2 linked regions of the Schizosaccharomyces pombe genome follow. Changing the gene in region 1 together with any one later gene gives a genetic interaction. Each region holds a gene or a part of one and is shown on either strand. Other genes may lie near its edges.

Region 1 (8,635 bases):
CTGCTGACGAGCAGAACAGAATGTTGTGGTGGATACTGTACTGACATGTGGTTAAAGAATGGAGCGCTGTTATACTGTAGTTATTAAACAAACTCGAATACAGAGAGAATTAATGACTGAAAATTTTTAAAATCAATTAAATATGTTTATATTATATATTTAGTAAATTTTTTGTAGCATGACTTGTAAACGCACGATTGGCGATCTATACTTTAAATCTACAGCCATCAAAACTTTAAAAAATTTAACAGTTTTGACCATAAAAACAGGAAAATTCATAGAATAATAGTAAATTCATGTTAATTTAATTTTTTAAAAAATTGCGCCTGCAATAAGTAGCATAAGCATAAGTGTAAAGATAAACTGGTATAACTAAAATATTATACAGGACGAAAGGTTAAGGCAAATTTTTAAGCAACAAAGACATCATTGCTGAGTTGAACGACATTTAAACCTAGATAAATGTCGATTTGTAAATAGTTTATAATAACTATCCTAACTATTAAAACCAACAAGGTTCCGAAAGACGTATAACAGAAACGGACAATAATGGATAAAAAAGATCATAAAAGCAAAATATGGTTTAAAATTCTGAAAGCCAAAATTATTTACGCTTTCGGTGCATGTGTTGCAAGTTGAGAAGTAGTGCTCTATTAAAGTCCCATTCAGAGAGCAAATCTTTGAGCAGTAAACCAACTTGATCATATTCATCCATAGCATATGTCTGCATAGCTGTATTGTCTCCTTCTTGAATATATGAGCTGATAGACTCATGAGTTTCCATCATTACAGAGTGCAACTCGTTAAAAAGACTGCGCAAATTTTCTTTGCACATGATCCTGGGGAAAGGTTTGCTAGTAGTGTTATGTTGATTACGGTTGACCGATTCAACTGAAAACTTTAAGATGTCAACGAGACGAACCATCGACACAGACAATGCATTAGAGAGGTCACCTACCTCCCGGTGAACAATGAGCCATGAAGACCTTTCAGCTAAAAATGAATCAACCGGAAACGATAGTATGCAACATAGAACTTGCTTAGAGATTATAGTTAATTCATAATAAGCAGTTTTGATGTGATTGAGAATTTGGGTGGATTGGTCATCAAAGTCTTGGTTTTCTTTACGGGCTAGGTACATGGAACTCCGTTTTAAGCTTGTTGAGGAACCTTTTCGGAGGTCAAACGAATTTAATTTACCAAAGCAATTTGGAAGTCTATATAGTGATAATAGGTTTCTAAGGTTGGAAGCAGCTGCATACGGATATATTCTTGACAGAACCAGCTGGTATCTAGGTAAAAGCTTCTCATACAAACCAGACAGTTCGTAACTTAAAGTATTTTGTTCCGTAAGATTAAACAATAAAGGATCATTGGCAGGAAGGAAGTCCATTAACCGGGAGCGATTTGCTGCCGAATTTGCTTCCAATTCACAAATTTGGGAGTAAACACGATTAGATGTAGTTTCAAAATCATGCAATAGATTGACAAACTTATTTAAGCTGGATAATCCCATAATACGAATAAAATATGTCCAGCAATGACAAATCCGTATGAGCGAAGAGAAGCAAATATAAGATAAGGCTATTATCTTCACAAACTTTAGATAATGAAGACTTGCCATTGCAGATGATAATTTGTATAAAACAAAATCTATTACAATTTGTAAGCTCAGCAGATAGGCGAAGTATCTCCAAAACTTGCTCGTAGAACTGAACGATGAAGAAGGATAAACCAAAGAAGGCTGTTCTTCATGATGTGACCGCTGTAGCTCGTGATCTCCTACGAGGAGTTCAGATGTATAAATAATGTACTGAATGCTGTCAAAAAAATATTCGTTTTCTCGATCTTGTAAGTTTAGATTAACCGACCCCTGAAAATGTTCATTAGCATATTACAATAACTCAAACTATAAAATCAGACTAACCATTATGCAAGGCCATAGATAAATTGCCAAAAAAGAGATAAACCGATGCCATATAGCAAAAGCGTGCATGGAAATATACACTTTGTATCGAGTCCTCAGAGATGAATACAACCCTAGTGTATTGTGTCAGACAAGAAAGAAAGTCGAAAAGAACAGGAAAGCTTTTGTCTTACCATCGCGAGATAGTTGAGTATCTACGTTCATATCAAACCGTTCAGCCAAACATGGAAAGGCTTTGCTTGCGACACCCTGATAGACAGGAATTTTTTATACAGATGTAATGACAAACAATATGCTTTAAGCAGCAACTTAATTGTAGTTTAAAATCATATAGAAATACTTAAAATCAATGAGGGTTTGCACTTCAGGATAATGGTAAATGAAAATCACACTTCACGAAAATAAAACGCGTAAACCGTTAATCTTCAAAACTAAATAATACCGCTCAAATTACGCTGTTTTTCCGCTAATGTTCATAAGGGAAATGTTTGAATTCCGTAAAACTGTTAAGGATGCGCAGGGTGATGGTAAAAGATTTGATAGTATATGTTTATTTTGCAGAAATATTCGCCTTGACTATATACAAAGTACTTTTATAAACTAAATAGTGTTAGAAAAGTATAAAGAGAAGCTTCGATAGAAAATTATTTCAAGGTTAAAATGAATAACTCGTTGCATCAAATTAGTTTGAGGTGAAAGGAAGGATATGATTCGTAGAACTGCTAATTCTTCCTGAGAATGGTAAATGAACGGAAAGCGATTTTTGCAGTTTGAACACGATTTGATACATGAGAGCAATACAGTAATATTGTATATACAGATGGAGATAAGATTTGGTTGCGATTTAAATGGCAATGAAATAAAGATCTAATAAGATAACCATTAGTAAATTCTTAGCGAACCATGCTTTCCCACCTGCTAGTAGAAGATGTTTGCAATTCAGTAAACAAAGGTTATGAAAGTCACCAGTATAGCTAAATTAACAAAGTTAGCTGATCAATAATATTGAAATCTCATTAAATTACGATGATAATCTGTCTCTTCAATGAAATAAAAACTTAACACTGTGTAGATATTACGACGGCATGCAAAGAAACTGGAAACAGAGACAAGATATAGAGTTTACTAAAGTATTCAACCTATTCAGCGAATTTTAACAAATTCTTTTTCAATTTAGTGAGTTTACTTTTCAACAATTTTACAATTCATCAGTGAACTCTATACTTTTAAATCATTTGCAGTGAATGAAAATAGATCATGGATAATACTCGTACTTCGTTTTGTCTCATGATAATTTAAATACAAAAAGTTGACTTACAGTAGATAAACGTTAATCTACATAATAAATCATTGATGCAGGTTCAAATACTTCTTTCCCCTTCCAATGAATGAAGAAATCCTTTTGTGCTTTAGCCGCACTCAAGTGAAAAAACTCAGGGAAAAGAAAATAAAACGAAGAAAATGGTGATCTTCTTGTTGACGATTTCCTTGGCAAATTAATAAAACTATGCAAAGCGATTTATTAGTTACATGTATACACTAAGGCCATTGCACTATTGGACACGAGGGATCAACATGCCTTGCCTTTTTGGCAATACAATCACATTGCACTCTTTATGAATGTCGTCTACACAATATAAACATATTAACGATTTGCATTGAAATGTCATGTTATGATCAAATTATAATCTTATGCATGCCGCTTCAGATAATGGCTGGTAAAAATTATTATAAAGAGTTATTTGTTTAATAAATAACAATGCAAGAATTAATTACAACACACTGAGACAAGAATTCTCTGTTTATTTTTATAAATTTTTTTATCTATAAAAGAAGTATAATCGCTTTTAAACTCTTGCTTAATGCTGCCGGTTTGATCGGTATTATAACTAATTGACCGAGAACATATGACGAATAGTGAGAATTACTGTAGCGTAACATTTACTAGCAGTAAGCTTCCTTCATAGAATTTTTCAAAAGCACAATCGTGGATTCTCCCACTTACGTGAACGGATTTTGTCTTTTAGTATAAGCCACAATTTCTGGTATCCGCATTCGCAGCCATCATTTCTCAGACATATATTTGCTTTAAGAAGACCCAGTATTTGGCTGCATTAGTATATAATCGCATTTACATGTAAAATCTTGCCTAGTCAGTAAGATTACAGAATCGTTCTTTTAGAGAGGCTGATTTCATAAGTCTGTGTATGTGCGTGTCTATATACTGAAATATATAAATACACTTATAATTAAAGCTGGTTGGCTTTTTATCCTTTCTTTGTATATCACTGCATATTTTTTGTCCATATTATAAACTCCCTATCTATCGTCTTTCGATAATAATTATTTTCATTTTAAACCGCATTTCTCATCTCTACAAAGCATTATCCCATATTTCCCTTTTTTATTCCCCTTTAACAAGATATCCTTGAGTTTGGTTATTTTTACTAGCATTTTATTTCCATTTCTGAACTTGGTGCATAGCTCACCAGATTGGCATTTTTTTATTTGATCGTGTCTCATTACTTCCCGCTCTTTTTATTCTTATCTTTTCTTTCTTTTTGATTTTTCTCGCCCTTCTTTAATTTGTTGAAATTTGATTAACTTTTATTACTTTTGCAATGGGTATTCCTGATTCCACTACAGATTCACGCCATAGTCTCTCATCTGCTGCGTTGTCCTCTGCTAGCTTTGAGAATATTTACGACCCGGCACGCAAGAACGAGTCAACTAATGATGTTATCGACAATCATACAGACACTGAAATTGATGATCACGATAATGACCATGAAAACCTTGATAGCAATAATAATAACGAAAACAATGAAGCCTTTAACGAAAAGGCTGCAGAGAAAAAGTTATTGCCTTGGTACCGACGTTACTTTATTTGGATATTAATTTTTATAGTCGCTTTAATTTGTAGTGTTCTCATTGGTGTCTTGGGTGGTGTCTTGGGACATCGTACCGCTGTACGAGATCGCCATCCTTCTTACAAAGCTAAAACATATAGCCTTGTTAAAGAATATAAAGGCACCACATTCTTCGACGGCTTTGATTTTATGAACATTACTGATCCCACCCATGGCTTCGTACAATACCTTGACCGTAACAGCAGTGCTAAGCTTGGTCTAATTAGCGCGAATAGTTCCAACGTCATTATGGCCGCCGATAGTAAGCACAATTATAGCAGTGGTCGCCCTTCTATTCGTCTTCAGAGTACCCAGTACTTTGAACATGGACTCTTTATTTTGGATCTTATACACTTGCCTTATGGTTGCGGCACATGGCCCGCATTTTGGACTCTTGGTGATGACTGGCCCAATGGTGGTGAAATTGATATCGTTGAAGGTGTCAACGTGGGTACTAGTAATCAAGTCACTTTGCATACAGGTGACGGTTGTGAAATGGAAGATATCAAGCGAGTTATGACTGGTACTGCATTACAAACTAATTGTTGGGTTGATGCTCCAAACTCGTATAATGCTGGCTGTGGTGTTGAAAATCCTAGTGGTCCTTCTTATGGTGAAGCTTTCAACAAAAATGGAGGCGGTGTATTTGTTCTTGATTGGCGTAGTGAAGGTATTCGATCGTGGTTTTTTAATCGTTCTGAAATTCCATCTGACATTACTTCTGGTTCTCCCCAACCTGCTAAATGGAGTGAACCCGTAGCTGACTTTCCAGATACCAAATGCGATATCGACAAAATGTTTTCAAAGCAAAAAATATTATTTGATTTGACATTTTGTGGTGATTGGGCAGGTTCTTCAGTTTATTCATCAGCAGGATGCCCCGGTTCGTGCAACGACTTTGTTGGTAATAATCCTCATAATTTTACTGAAGCATACTGGAATATCAAAAGCTTGGCCGTTTATCAATACTAAACCCCCTTCTTTTTTCTTTTTGATGAATTTTCTTGATTATATAGGCATAACATTAACATTGCATGCGTGATATCATCTCGATATATTGTGTGTAAATAAAATACATTTTGATTAGAACTTGAAGTAGAGAAACATTTTTTCGCATGTGTTTAGCAAAATGCGTAAAATAGTAATAAGCCTAAGTTTTGTCTGAAATTATGCGAGCTTGAATTTTTTAATAACTTGTGTTCTAATGCCATCGTTTACAAAGTAAATTTCGGTCTTAAAATTTCAATAAATTCACTACGCTAATTGATTAATAATATAGGGTTTAGGAATATTCATATAAGGTACTCTTCAGAAATATCAAAAGGTTTGGGATTCGTATATGTTGTAAAAACGTTTGTTCATTTCTGTTGCAAAATACATCTAAGGGCGGTTTAAGAAACCAACGCCAGAATAAATCACTTGCTGAGAAACAGAAGTAGCACCAGAAATTTCAGCAGGACCAGGCTCAATACCACTCTTGGAGTATCTGGTAACGACAGCATATAGGCTAGGATCATCCAAGGAATGAATAATCAAACTTGTGTCAGCTTTAGGATTAACGGTGAGCTGTTGCTTAAGAGTAGCAGAATCGCCAGTATATTCGGTATACAAAACATAGTCCTTGGCATCTGGGCCTAAGTTGTCCTTATCTAAATGACCATCAACAACCTTAAAATTCAATAGTTGCAAAGGCTCTGCCAAAGGAGCATGAGTAGAGGTCAAATAATTGGCAAAAGCAAGGAAGGGATTTGAGGTTTTGTGAGAATTCTCTAATACCTCCTTTGAATCATACAGCTCAAGACCAAAGATATAATCAGGGTTTTTAGCATCACGAGCGAAATAATAGGTTTTAGTGAAGGGTTCTGATTTCAATACATGCTCATTAACTTTACTCAAAAGGTCAAGGATCTGTACATATAGTTAGTAAAGGATTCAAGAAAAGGATAAATTCCTGAACAAAAGCAAACAACAATTACAGTAATGAGAGTAGATTTCTATTACAGCACAGAAGATTTAAACTGACATGTCGTGGCATCTCATTTATTTCCAACTTTACAATGCAGTTGAGATAGACATTTCTCAATTCACCACGCTTATTCTATAAACACCTTGATAATGCTTTTGCATTCAATTTTTAACTCACCTTATCACCTTCACCCTTCTTACCGATAATTTTGGCAATGTAGACGTGAGTACTAGCAGGGAAACTCATAATTCTTTAACAACTATATAACTTATTGTCAAATGCTTTTGGGCAGTTAATTCGTATGAAGTAGTATATTTGTAGTCAGTCACGTGACGGGTTGCATAGAAAATGAAAGAATGCGATCGGGTAAATCGCGGACTTGATGTCAAACCAACCAAACTAGGTATTAAAGTATTCATAATTTTAAGCAAAAGGTTCCATAATTACGGATAGATTACGATAGGAATGCAAAAATAACCTTGATTATGCTACTGTTCTCCAACGTGTCGAACAAACACTTCTTGACGATCAATAGAATTATTATATAATATAGTTGTAATTGGTCATATAAAAATTTGAGAATTGACCTGTCGACCTTGACAAGTCTACGTATTCTACGAAGTTCCATAATTTTTATATGAACAAAGTCTACATAGTACAGCAACTAGTTTCGGTCAGTCAACCGTTCGTAAATTTGAGAGCTTTCATCAGCAATATCATAAGTCTAAGACCACTGGTTTCAAATTTATCCAAATAGTTTGTAAATTAATGCATCCAAAAAGTGTACTGTTCAAAGACATTACTTTTGTTAAACACAATCGCTATGCTACTACTCCCTTCGCTTACTCCGCGACTTGTGAAATATTTGACACTAGCGAAATTATAATTAGTAGTTTTTTGAAACATGTTTACAAAGCCGTTAATTTGAGGATAATTAAAAAAATGTATAGTTAATCATAAAAAATAGTCTGTTCTTTTTTCAAGCGTTTACAATAAAACATATGCAATTTAATATATGCTGATCATTATATTAAGGTTATCTTGAGTAGTAAAATAGGGAAATGCGAACGAAAATCCAACTTTAACAGATTTTCAAAGTGCCCAACTAACCGTATTTTTATAATCATCTTTTTTTTTGGAAGTGAAGTGCTTTTTTACGCTAACCATTTAAACAGATACTTTGAAGAGACATATTATAGAAAACAAATAGTAACTAACACCATTTATTTACAATGCTAAGGTTTTTTCTACAAATTTATTCATATATTTTATCATTGAAAAAAGCAACCATTCTACAAGAAAATCGTATTGTAAGATAGCATATTATCCGTTAGCCATGCAGTTGGTATTATTGTTTTGATGGTACGCTAAACGAAATGGGATTTTAAATCGTGATCTATTTAAAGCGGTAAACAGGTATCAAGTATATTCGTATGAAGGTAATACTTTTATTTGTCACTGAAAATAGCTCATGTCTAAACATGAAGCATGACTTCAGTAGGTTTGCTTAATAAGTATTTTAATAATAATAACAATACTTAGAATCTATTTTGTATAGCGAATGAATAAATAGAACGCTATTATATAACGAGGTTAACGTAATATGTTACTGCTGTCGTTATCAACGAAATAAACTAGTGAACTCGCATACGCTATCCTGCTAGTGTAATTTGTCAATCGTTCGTTGAAGAATGTAGGCTGGTATGTTTGGCAACAACACCACTGCGATTAAATCTTCGTATTGAGGCATCGATTTTTCTTGGAAAACCTTAGACATAAATTACAGGGGATGAAATTTTGGAATTTAGTTTTCTGACATAAAAGGATTTGCAT
Region 2 (5,688 bases), on another chromosome or scaffold:
GAGAAGAAACCTTATCATGAAGGATTGCTTGCAGCGCGTGAGAAGGCCAGAGAAGCAAGACGTCGACGAAGTGCGCAAAATTCAGCAAAACTAGAGAAAGAGAAAGCTAAAGAAAAGCAAAAGGATAAAGATCAAGAACAAGACACTGTTAGTGATAAAAATCAGATAGATGAGATAGAAAAAGGGCAGAAGGAAGTAGATGAAGAACCTGTTTCTGAACCCACCACTTCGCCTATTTTACCTCCAAAAAATCAAGAGCCAATTCGTATGGGAGGATTCACCGTTGTTAATAGATCCTCTAATGCTTAAAAAGAGCTTTCTGATGCAGGCATCAGATCAATGAGGCAATGCTTAAACTTTGTGTCTCAATATTAAAGGTTGGATTAGAAACTAATAGTTTGTCCACAATATATTTTCCTCCTCCTTGCCATTTGCAAAACTTTTTCAAGGTTCCGTTTTCTCTTCACATTATTTACTACCATTTATTCTTTTTTTTTGACTTAAAGTCATAAGATTATCAAAGCAAAAATTTTGAAAGACAATTAAGCGAATGTGTGATTTGAAAGTGGAATTAAGGCAATTACCAGCTGGTTTGTGATTAAACAATGACAACACGAGTTCGATTAATAAGTGTTTAATTTTTTTTTCTTTTTTTTCCAACTTTTTTTTGAAATACTGATTTGGAAAAGAGATTCGTGGTAACGACGAATGATTGTATTTTTTATCAGGGAGAAACTTTTTGCGATTATTTGAATATTTCTCTTCATTCTTTGATAATCTTTAATGATAAACTGTTGTATTTTTTATATATTTCTAACCCCAAGTCCTTTCTTATTTGCTGATTTGGTGTTTATAGAAGCCATCACTGTACGCTTGTTACTATGTTTACATTCACCGGAGTCCAAAATGTAAACACCATGGGTATTGTTTATGTTTACACTCCCTTTTTCTCCAAACATATTAATGATTTTGTGAACAGTTGTGTTTTCGTATTTTAGTGAAATTGCATATTACAAAATATCAAAACAGAAAAAAGAAAAAGCCAATATTAAGCGTGTATATTTTGTGAAACGTGAATAAAAAGAGCAATGGATTTCAACAAAATTGGTGACGAAAATGTCGTTTTCCAAATCTTTAAATTGGAGATGCTAATAATGTCGGAATTTCCTAGCTTTATCGAAGAAAAAGATAAACTTTTATGTCTCAACGTCTTAGCAAATCTTCTAGGAGGAATATTTGAAAACGAGGATAAAATAATTCCCAATTATAAAGAAGCCGTCATAGCGGCTCTCTTTGAACGTTTATTGCTATCTTCAAATCAAAAAAGTACCAGTAAAAGCAACCAAATGATTAAATTGCTAAACAATTCGTTAGCACATAATAACGGTTTGCCATCTCAAAGATGCAACCACGATTCAAAATTGGTGTATATGTCGTTAGTACAAAATAATGGTTTACCTGGTCAAAGAAGCAATTACGTTTGCTGTCCCTTATGCATGGAGCAGCACTGTATCGAACTGCTGACTTATCAGTTATTTGCAAAATGGCGAAATTTCCCAAGGATTGATTTTTCACCTGTTCTGCAAGGCAATCGGGGACCGCGATTCTTCTATACTTGTTTTCTGTGCAACTCAACGTTTTTAGCATCAGCGTGATGATTACGACAAATTTCTGCTAAAAGATGGATACATGAATTGCATCCAAATATAAATGATGATGAAAACTACTTATATATATCTTAATACTATCGTTATCTTTCATAGGTTTCACTCCAAAACATGCCAAATAAAAATGTATGTACTCGTTAAGCCAAAACAAATTACAAACTACAAACATACTCCTTTTTCCTTCAATATTGATAACATCATAGGGAATATAGACAGCAATTTTCCGATTAATGGGAGATAAATATCAGCGTATCTTATATAAATAACAATAAAAACTTCAATGAAAGCATTAATTATAATAATAATCGATAATACACTGAATCATTACAACCATCTGAAAAGAATAACAACAAGGTACTATAATTTACTCAGTGGTCTTTGACTCAGTGGTGGGAGCAGTAGGCTCCTTCTCAGCAGGGGCAGTAGGAGTGCTAGAAGCTGGGGAAGCCGTACCTTCAGCTTGGTTTTTGGCATCAGCAAGCCTACGAGCTTCGTTGTGGATGCCAAGCAACTGGTTTTTACCATCTTCATAGGCATTTTGAACCTTTTGTCCGGCAGAAGTGCCAGCAGCAGTTTCAAGAGCTTTGTGGAAATATGTGCTAACCAAAGAAGAGGTGCGGTTCAATTTGTCAGAAATGGCAAATTTATTATCAACCTCATTGGCCTTTTCGGTGACATGATAACGTTCGTTAACAGAACGAACGCCAGACAAAGCAGACTCGAGGATCCCCTTGAATTTTGAAGAAACGCCATAGCTTTGGTCTAGTTGAATACTCTTTTCCAAAGTTACATCGCTCAAATGATATCCGCGACTTAAAAGTTCAGAGATTATAGCTGAACGAGGCTTGTCTTCTTGACGAGCGGCTTGATCGCCTCCAGCACCTCCTTGATCGGTAGTAGAAGCAGCACCACCATCTTCACTGGTGATTTGGATTTTGTTTTGTCCAAGGAGAGCATCTTGCAAAAGTAAGGCCGTCTTGGTGGCGCTAGGGCGTTCAAATTGGATTTTCGCGGTTTGGGTTTCTCCAGATTTCTCGGTAGAGATGTTGGACACTTTACCGCAGAAAGAAAAGAAGTCTGAGATTTGTTTCTCAGTAACTTCAGGAGAGATGTTCGTTACAATAACTTGGTTGCTCATTACTTTTGTTTCAACTGGTAATATGGAGATTCAAAGTACGTTGAGTGCCATGGAGGCTGCTTTTAAGTAGTGATCATCGATGACGACATCCTCCCAATTACGATTAGATTGAGCCCAACGAAAAAACCACAAAAATGCAAAATTTCCTGACATTTCTAACTTGCCCTTAGCCTATATCACGGAAAGTTGACTTTGTGCTGCTTTGTTAATGCCACTACTTCATACTTTAAATCTGATATTACATTAATGAACGTGTGTTTTCAAAAGATTGCAATTATCGCGATAAGTGAGCCTAAATCAAAATGAAGCTGAAAATAGATGACAATTATCTTTTTATCTGAATATCACGATACAATTTTTATTGGTCACTGTAAACTAAATAGGATAACACTTAGATACTTTGCTGTACTCATGATTTCTTGACTTGGTATACTAGTTGGCTTTGTTCGTTGCATGGCAAAGTGCATAAATTGTGGAAAAAATATCCATTAAATTGCTATTACGAAGTAATTTCCGCTTCTACTATGTTTCGATAAATTCATAAACTTAGGACCGACATTAATTTTCCCGATATCGGCATATCCGGACAGTGAAAACTGATGTTTCTAGAAAACCGAATTTGCTGGATCGCCTTTACGGTCTTTCTAAAGAATGCGAAAGAAATATATGAATAGATTACCTCGCTTGTTCCTTTTCTCATGTTAGTCATCCAAATTGTTTCTTATTGAATAATGAGCAAAATTATCAGGTATATTGAGAAGGCAAGAGAAATATAAATGTTAGACCTACAATAAGTAAAACAAAGATAAGTTAAAGGCTTTCCTTGCTTCAAAGCATTTTTTAATCTATTTTCTCGATCTTACTTCCTCAATGTACATAGGTTAACAATATTTATATTTTACATTTGGGCTTAAGCTGCGTATAGAGAAAATAAAATATCATAAATATCATAGGTATATTGCTACAAAAGATAGAAATGAAAACCTCTTTTACAAGTAACTGTGTTATATTTACGAATTGGTGATTTGAATAAACCGTTGTACTTGAAGTTGGCACCTCACCTCGGAGTTTGTTGGTGTTTTATATTGATTAACCTACAAAGACACTTAGTCTAGTAGAGATTGTGCTTTGAATTTGTAAAAGACAAGAATCACCTAACTAGCCGCTAACCTGGTAATGTAACTGTGAGCGGATTATATGGTTACATGTTTTCTCACTTCCACAAACTTCACAAACACAACGATGGCGTCGAAAGGTGCTTATAAACGGGTATGGATTTATAATTTTAAGCTTCTTCTAATTATTTTAGTTAATGAAAGAATATCTAGCTCTTCAGAAAAACCCTGTTGAGCTTGTTGACGCTAAACCTGCAACTGAAAACATTTTGGAATGGCATTATATTATCACTGGCCCTCCGGACACTCCATATGAAGGAGGACAATATCATGGTATGTTTCTTTTAAATTTCCTTCTGTAATCAATATGTGCATGAACTTTTGGCTGTTGCCATCCTTTGCTAACTTTGCGTACAGGGACATTGATTTTTCCTCCCGATTATCCTTTTAAGCCACCTGCAATTCGCATGATTACTCCAAGCGGACGTTTCCAAACGAATACCAGACTTTGTCTTTCTTTTTCTGACTTCCATCCAAAATCCTGGAATCCCTCATGGATGGTTTCTACTATTCTGGTGGGACTCGTTTCTTTCATGACTTCTGATGAGATTACCACTGGAGGTATTGTAACTTCGGAGTCTACCAGGAGAACTTACGCAAAGGATACGAAGAGATTTAACATTATGGATAATCCTAAATTCTTAATAATGTTCCCCGAGTTAATTGACAAAAATAGGGAAGACATTGCCAAAGCAGCTGCTGAAGCGGCCCTAATCGAACCCCAACAAATTCACTCCACTCCTGTATCTTCCAATGAATGCAAGAAGAATGAACCGTTTAATTCAAAGCAAAGCTGGGTTAAAAGTCGCTGGAGCATAGCAGTTTTGGTGTTTTTTGCCCTTGCTTTAGCTCGTTTTTTTGGAGCTGATTCTTAAGATGTTATGCTTTGTATTTATTTTATTAACTTATGAAAGCGTTTTTGCATTTGATCCTCCGATAAAGAGATTAATGCCAAATAGCGCTTTGCCGTCCTTATATGTTTATTTTTTTTCTTTCGTTGCCTGTTGCCCCTTCATCTCTGCATCACATGTCGCGCTTCAATTAAAACTAAATGGAAGTTAATCTTTGTTCTAGTTTCTTTTTATAGACAATTGTCTCTTAGCAATTGCTTGATTTTTAGCTTACTAAACTACATTTTTTTAAATGTCGTCAAATGTTATTAAAGCTTCGACATTTCGGTAGAAAATAAAATTAAATTTTAGTTACTCAATTCATTATTTGTGATTTTCTTCAATCACTATCCAACTCGTTGCATATCCAGCGGCCACAATATAGGCCCAGCCTGGTAATTGAAGAGTTTTTGCATCATAAACATCTCTTTTATCATCATTCGAGGCATTTCCATGCTCATTCCAACCGTATATTAAAACACTTCCTTTCTTTGTCCTTAAAATATTGTGCTCAGTTCCACTGGCGATTTGGACGATATCACTTGCTTTTGTATGGGCCTTCTGAGCACGATCACAACGACCAAAAGCATAGACACAGCCTTCAGTACTTAATAGACTCAAGGTAGACCAGTTTGCTGATATAGAGCAGATGGAAGAAGACAATTCACTGTTATTTGCTTGCCAAGCATCACATTCTGCTGCTACATTCCACTTCTCCCCTCCTAAAACAATTACATGTCCTGTTTCTTGCAATACTGCACTGAACTGTACACCACATACAACAGCTTGAGCATGTTCAATACGCCCGAGAAATGAAA

What was found. A genetic interaction does not mean that the proteins touch.
Region 2: mutations in crr1 (region 1) and ubc6 together harm fitness less than expected from each alone (positive genetic interaction), as found in Schizosaccharomyces pombe (one large-scale study listed by BioGRID).

The regions. Positions count from the first base shown.
Region 1 is NC_003423.3:1,654,359-1,662,993, reverse strand, and holds crr1 (glycosyl hydrolase family Crr1), read left to right. Parts: upstream 1-3,917; 5' UTR 3,918-4,548; coding exon 4,549-5,808; 3' UTR 5,809-5,937; downstream 5,938-8,635. Other genes in the region: wat1 (TORC1/2 complex WD repeat protein Wat1/Lst8), read right to left, coding at 1-47; myosin-binding vezatin family protein Inp2, read right to left, coding at 605-1,873, 1,928-2,040, 2,101-2,131; SPOM_SPBC21B10.08C (uncharacterized protein), read right to left, coding at 6,217-6,744, 6,980-7,048.
Region 2 is NC_003424.3:1,214,288-1,219,975, reverse strand, and holds ubc6 (ubiquitin conjugating enzyme Ubc6), read left to right. Parts: upstream 1-4,027; 5' UTR 4,028-4,047; coding exon 4,048-4,074; exon of another isoform or gene 4,075-4,114; coding exon 4,115-4,253; exon of another isoform or gene 4,254-4,337; coding exon 4,338-4,855; 3' UTR 4,856-5,188; downstream 5,189-5,688. Other genes in the region: Ino80 complex HMG box subunit Nht1, read left to right, coding at 1-309; protein mug94, read left to right, coding at 1,089-1,655; RNA-binding protein Vip1, read right to left, coding at 2,032-2,805; RCC domain-containing protein Ats1, read right to left, coding at 5,195-5,688. UniProt on the Schizosaccharomyces pombe protein: Catalyzes the covalent attachment of ubiquitin to other proteins. Functions in degradation of misfolded or regulated proteins localized in the endoplasmic reticulum (ER) lumen or membrane via the ubiquitin-proteasome system.